Linked DNA regions of Caenorhabditis elegans. The protein of the gene in region 1 purifies or fractionates together with the protein of each later gene. This does not show direct contact. Each region holds a gene or a part of one and is shown in the gene's direction. Other genes may lie near its edges.

Evidence for each region. Proteins that work in one complex are often made in the same cells at the same time.
Region 2: the proteins of rpl-28 (region 1) and rpl-37A fractionate together in Caenorhabditis elegans (co-fractionation; one large-scale study listed by BioGRID). This does not show direct contact.

The regions. Positions count from the first base shown.
Region 1 is NC_003283.11:12,726,777-12,730,363, reverse strand, and holds rpl-28 (Large ribosomal subunit protein eL28), read left to right. Parts: upstream 1-2,251; 5' UTR 2,252-2,256; coding exon 2,257-2,458; intron 2,459-2,504; coding exon 2,505-2,683; 3' UTR 2,684-2,729; downstream 2,730-3,587. Other genes in the region: zfyv-19 (FYVE-type domain-containing protein), read right to left, coding at 160-312, 359-535, 593-739, 784-843; mrpl-49 (Large ribosomal subunit protein mL49), read right to left, coding at 1,036-1,182, 1,232-1,386, 1,428-1,562, 1,607-1,733; R11D1.13 (DUF148 domain-containing protein), read right to left, coding at 2,781-2,819, 2,862-2,972, 3,015-3,152.
Region 2 is NC_003280.10:14,153,161-14,156,583, forward strand, and holds rpl-37A (Large ribosomal subunit protein eL43), read left to right. Parts: upstream 1-2,133; coding exon 2,134-2,409; downstream 2,410-3,423. Other genes in the region: bop-1 (Ribosome biogenesis protein BOP1 homolog), read right to left, coding at 84-774, 840-991, 1,043-1,213; xrn-2 (5'-3' exoribonuclease 2 homolog), read left to right, coding at 2,627-2,914, 3,245-3,423.

The DNA.
Region 1 (3,587 bases):
AGAGCTCTTTAATTTGATTATCTGCAATTTGTAACTTTAAGGTCATTTTAAACACTTTTTTTTAAATTTTCAACTGAAAAAATTATATTTTCAGATGAATCAAGTAATTTTCTATATTTAAGACACATTTTTAATTAAAAACATCCTTGTCCAACTTACACTTTGAGGATTACGTATCACTTCTACATCACATTCTCGAAGTTTTGCTAATCGTTCTTCAATTTCTGATATACTGAGTGGTTCAATTTGTGGTGAAATATCTTCTCGCAGTTTAAGTCTTCGCTGTTCCAGGTCATTGGTCGGATAATTTGGCTGAAAACTGAAAAATAAATTAAGAAAATTCCGTGACGCTAATTACCTTGGTCTGCTGCGATGGAATTTCTGGCGAATTCCTGAATTTAGTTGCTTTGACTTCACTATTTTTAATCTGATTTTGATTTGTGTGCGAATTCCTGAATGATGGCGGTGGAAGTCCATCACCCCACCAATTTTTATTCGATTTATTCGAATTATCTGGTAGAGGCGTTGATGTTATCTGAAAAAAATCGTGGGATTAATATCTATTTAGTTTTTACTTTGTTCTTTTTCTTACAGTCGCGCTGGGCTTCATTTTGGCAGATTCCAATTTTTGATAGCAATTGTTACAGACAATCATTGGTAAATCCGAAAGTGTGGGAATAATTGCACGATGAGGCAGACATTTCTTACAGAAGGAGAGAGCACAATTCGAGCAGCCGGCCTGAAAAAATAGAAATTAATTAGTTTTTGATGCCAGAAAATAACTTCTCTGTTTAATAATGAATATTTAGTTCTGCAGTTTGTGCAACAAATTGAGGAAGGCATTCTAGAGAAGAATTTCGGCATTTCGCAATGATACAAAATGAAGAGAATAAGGAAATGACGGTGAAATAACCGGTTTGAAGGTAAAAATGATAAAGTAGACAATTGAATTTTTCTAGTTCATTCTCCAACAATAAATTCACAACAAAACAAATCTGCCTAGATAAAAAACTAAAAGATATATCAAGAATACATCTAGAATCCTTTGCTGTAGAAGAATTGCTCAATAAGAACACGTGGAGCTCCTTTAATTTTGATACGACCTTTCAACTCATCGACGTGACTGGCGATCGAATGTCCAAGATGTTCTTCAAGATAGGAGCGGAGATCATTTTCGCAAGCCTGAAAGATATTTATGTTGATTCAGGATTTAATAATGTTCCCAACTTACAAAAATGTCTCCGTCGACGTTTCTGATAGTTACTAGCTCGACATAATCAAAATCCAACGTTTTCTCATTCAGTAAATCCCTTTTTCGTTCCAAATAAAGAGGAAGAAGATGGTCATGACGACGTCGAATGTAGTATTGATGTGTCTTGGCTGCTTCTGAAATATTTCGATGCGGTATGAATTTAATCTGTATATACCTGTCGGTGGTGTCCATCCGCTTGGTGTAGGATACTTTTCGTGCTCAGGAACATTCGGCACCACTTCTATTGGCATCAATCTTTCCACATACGACCAATCGATAGGAGCTTCTTCGACCGTTGCAAGACTTCTGGCTGTAATTGCTAGTAGAAAAATTATATGATAATAAATAACTTACACTTTTCAGGGAGAGCATGTTTCCATGGATTTTCCCAAAGTTTCTCAGCTTTTTCGACTGAAGTTGTTGAAAAAGACAACCTGGAAACTGCTCGAGGGGAGAAAATGCGGAGAGAAGAACCCAGCATCTTAATAAAATTATATAATTTTGAATAAAATCAAATTAAAAATAAGATTAATTGAAACACAACAATAGAATGCAGAAAATTACTCATAAGAAATAATTTATTTTGAAAGAAGTTGTGTCGATTTACGATAAAAACTACACGCAAACGAGGCTCCGCGTTTACACCGTTTGGCAATGGAGCGCGCTTGCTATTAGATTTTAGGCCAGCTCAACGAAAGTTTAATTTATTTTTCTTCTTTTTTTCCATTTTTTTGAGTAAAATATCGAATTTTTTGTATTAATTCTGTAAATTTTATAATTTGCAACTATTTTGGCGTATTCTGCTTGTTTTTATCAGCGAATTTTTATGCATTTCAGTCAAAAGTTTGAGCAGGAAAAATGACATTTAGGACTTTGTAAAATTGTATTCTTAAATTTGCTTGAAAACCTACGTGTACAATTGATTTTATTGAATTTTTCTTACGTTTCCCGTTGTATCTTATTGTATTTAACTTTCATCATAAAATAATTTATTTCCAGGTAAAATGTCCGACGCTCTCGTGTGGCAAGTCATCCGCAACAACAGCGCTTTCCTCAGAACCCAGCGCGGAATCGGAAAGCGATTCTCCACTGAGAAGTTCAACCTCAAGAAGGTGAACAGCCCAAAATACAGTGGACTCGCTAACAAGCACGCCATCGACGTCAGCGCCGCCGCCAAGGGAGTCGTTGTATCTACCAAGAACGAGAGTAAGAGATTTTTTAAAAATTTATTTTTTACACTGTTTTTTCTCAGAGGGAAGACCAGCCAAGGCCGTCACCACCTCCACCTTGAGCAAGACCCCAGTTGCTTCAGTCCGTCGCTTGGCCAAGAACGCCGGATTCAACAAGTTCAACAAGCTCGCTCAACGTCGTGCCGCCGCCATCGTCCGCTCCCAAGTGAAGAAGGCTAAGGTCCAAAAGACTGACGCATAAATGACGTTTGTTACGTTGTTGTTATGAATATAAAGTGTTACAGCTTATCAACACGTTAAAATTTTTTATTCAAAAAAAAAGTGAAAAATCAAGACAATTAGGAGTTGTTCTTTGTGAAGCACTCAATCCATCTTTTCTGGAAAAAATAAATATGTAAAATTTAGATTAGAAATCCTACCTTGTCGTCGTCAGATGCATGTTCATCTAAATATAAATCAATATCTGCCTTCAAAGAATCGATTTCGGTTTTTTTGGCACGCTTGTTCGAGTTAGCAATTTTAATCATTGCCTGAAAAATTTTTCAATATCTAAGAAGTCGTTTTAAAAATACCGAATGTTCGTCGATTACACTTTGAACGCCATCAATGGTTTCTTTTGAAATTCCACATTTTGTCAACATTTGAATCGGGAATCCACCACCTCCAGAGCAAATTGATACGAGAAGAAAGGACAGAATCAAAAATTTCATGTTGAAATAGCACTCAAATCGGCTCAACGTTGAATGGGCATGCATTCGACGAAAGGTCGATCACGACATTTTAGGTTCAGTTGAAACCGGTTATAGGGCATGGTATTTTTTCTCATTTGGATCGGTTCTTTGGGATTATCCTAAGTTGTTGCAAATTTTTCAGCATCGAGAAATATGAAAATGGTGTCTGACTGAAAATTACTGTTTGTTATAATATAATTATGGTTGTAAAAAAGTACACTTCCAAAACTTTGTATTTAGAAATGTTCAGATTTTGAAAAGCACATTCACTTGCTTTTGGAAGAACGAAGTTATTTTCCATTATTTTCCTCTTCTACGATTTTGAAGAGTTTAAAGAGTAATGGTCTCGACACGAGCGGTGAACTGATTTAAAAAGCTTTGAATATCTGCCTTTAAGATTACTGTATTAATTTG
Region 2 (3,423 bases), on another chromosome or scaffold:
TGCAGCAGTCTGGACCAAAAATTGAGTTTTTTTTCCAATTTCAGGGAAAATTATAATAAAATTCAACACTTTTAAACCCTTACAAAAGCAAGAGTAGTCGGGAACGGGCGTAGATCATTAGGATTCGGCAAATCCGGCAATAAATCCGTCGGATCCGCGTGGATTCGCATTTTTCGCTGACGTGGCGCCAGGTACAAGTCCAGACATCGCTCGAATCGCTCGGTGATGAATTTGTCGTATTGTGGAACTTTGCGGAGAGCATCATACTTGGATGGCATGAAGTTGAGCACACGATCCTCTTTTTCAGCTTCTTCCCACTTCTTGCGCTCCTCATCGTCGAAAATGTACTCCTCCGGCGGGTTATAGGACTCGGCGTGCGTCGGCAGAGCCACCTTCGGAGCCGGCATGTGCACACGCATTCTGGAGAGCTGGGACTTTGTCACATTGTCAAGAGCATCCTCAGAAGCCCAGAGATCATAGGATTTGTGCTCTTCCTTCTTGGCTCGCGGCCCCTTAGCCCAGCCCATTTTGATGGCGTGGACCATACGGGACACCATTCGCATTTCATCTTTAGATGGGATAAATCTGGATTTAGGTTCTGGACGATTATCGATTGGATGGATTTCTTTTTGGGAGGAGAAAATGTCGAGGAACGGCTCGTATGGGTTGTAGCCGATTGTTGGGTACTTTCCGGTCGCGATATTGTGGATTTTTTCGATTTGCTCATCGGTAAGCTTCACATCAGTGCCAGTTTGCTTGTCGAACACTTTTCGCCTGAAAAAAATTAAAAAAATTAATATAAAATTACTTTATTTTATTGATTTTAACCACATAATTACCAGTAATCTGGATCTTCCATCTTCTCCAGGAAAGTCTCGATTTCTCCTTTCTTCGCGGGTTTTGCGATTTTCTCTCCAAACTTGTCATATCCAATGTGATCCTCATCATCGTACCATTTAATTGGAATGTTTCCAATCGTGTTTCGCAGATCCTTAAACAAAAAATTATATATTTTATGCTAAAATATGAAAAATAAGCCAACCTCCTCGTCAGAAGAATCATAATCATACTCGTCTGCAGGCTTTGGAGGAACTATCACCGGTTTGATGTCGAGCTTCTCGCCAAACTCGTCTTTCAGCGTTTTTGGCTTCTTTTTCCCATTTTCAAACTTTCGCTTGTTCTTCAGCGGAGTTGCCGCCGACGTTGAAGCCATCTGATGGAAATATATTAATTTAAGTGTTATATTTGAATTATTCATTTGAAAATTGAAGAAAGATTAAGCGAAAGTAAAGAATTATCGATGAAAAAGAGAAAATTAAGAAATTCCATTCGAAAAATTAATTGCGAAAGTTGGGGGACTAGAAAACTCAACGTGCAAGCGCGCTCCATTGAGACACGCGTTGCATCTACCGTAGTGCGTCGCGATTTTAGGCCCAACATTTTTCCGATTTCAATTTCTCTTTCGAACGTTTTTCCTTTTTGCTGCTGAATTTTTCGATTTTTTTTTCATAAAAGTAATATTTTCCATCAGAATTGTTGAATTGTAAGCTTATTTTTGAATATTTGCGAGTAGAACCCTTGATTTACCGCCTATTTGTCGAAATTTTCTCCACTTTTCTGTTTGACGATTTAAAAAAGAATTAGGACTCGAACTGCGTTATCAGTCTACAAATGATCCTTCTGTCGATCTAAATTATCTGAATATTCTGGTTCATGGCTTCAAAACTTCAAATATCCTTAATTTTCTTCTTTTTTTTGCTGCTTTGGCGGTCAGTTGAAAAATAATGTTACTTTTTCTTCTCGTCTTCTTACCGTTTCTACATTTCTTAACTTTGAAGTATGAATATATGTCCTTTACATAGAATTTAGATTGTTGGTAGAAATTCTGCTGGAAATTTCGTATTTTTTCGAAACACTTTCGCACTAGGCTGAATCGGTTAACTTGTTTATTACTTTATTCCTCGTTAACACATTTCACCTTTCTTAATCCTTCTATCTCGCTTCCAAAAATGCAGTTGGCTTTATTGGTTTATATTTTCGATTTTTCAATGCTCCGTCGCTCAAAATTATGTCTATTAATTACTTCTGTTTTTGCAAACCACTCATTTCTTTTTTTCAGGTAATCCAGTCGAAATGGCCAAGAGAACTAAGAAGGTCGGAATCGTCGGAAAGTACGGAACCCGTTATGGTGCTTCCCTCCGTAAGATGGCCAAGAAGCTCGAAGTCGCACAGCACTCCCGCTACACCTGCTCGTTCTGCGGAAAGGAGGCCATGAAGCGAAAGGCCACCGGAATCTGGAACTGTGCCAAGTGCCACAAGGTCGTCGCCGGAGGAGCCTACGTCTACGGAACCGTCACCGCCGCTACCGTCAGATCCACCATCAGAAGACTGAGAGATCTTAAGGAATAATTATCCTTTTGAATGTTGTTAATTTTTCACATATAAATATGTGTTCTACATTCGCCTTTTTGTTTTTTTTTTACTTCTTTTTAATACATATTAATCCCCCGAACGGGGCCTCCGTCATGTTCGAGCTTAACCTCGCTTCATTCGTCTAATACTTTTTCTCCGTTCGTCTCCTTCCGTAAAAGCAATTTGATAATTTAGAGAAAATAAAACTCCGAGAATGGGAGTTCCCGCATTCTTCAGATGGTTGACTAAAAAGTATCCGGCAACCGTGGTGAATGCCAATGAAGATCGTCAGCGAGACCAGGATGGCAACCGGGTCCCCGTAGATTGTACACAGCCCAATCCGAATTTCCAGGAGTTTGATAATCTATACCTGGATATGAACGGTATTATCCATCCGTGCACCCATCCAGAAGACAGGCCGGCTCCGAAGAACGAAGATGAGATGTTCGCGCTCATTTTCGAGTACATCGATCGCATTTATTCGATTGTCAGACCGCGAAGGGTAAGGAAAATCCTCAAAAAATGTGGAAATGGGTCCCAACCACGATCCACGTCGCCTAGGGTCGCTGCTGATGAATTTCCTGAACAAAAAGAGCATTTTCCAGGCGCTAGAAACCAGCGTTTTACCTAGAAAATAGTGAAAAATAGCGATTTTCGCGTGAAGAACTCAATGAAAGGTAGCAAAACCTCAAAAATTCAACATTTTTTAAGCAAAAAGACGCGGAATACTTCAACACTTAACGTTAATAATCATTTTTAGCTTTAAAATCTACTCTGGAAAAAGGTCCCGCCACATGGATTTTTGCTAGAAAAAACCCCCCGTAAATTCCAGCTTCTCTATATGGCGATCGATGGAGTTGCTCCGCGAGCCAAGATGAACCAGCAGCGAAGTCGTCGATTCCGGGCGAGTAAAGAGATGGCTGAAAAGGAGGCGAGCATCGAAGAGCAAAGAAATCGATTGATGGCCGAAGGCATCGCTGTGCCACCGAAAAAGAAAGAAGAAGCTCATTT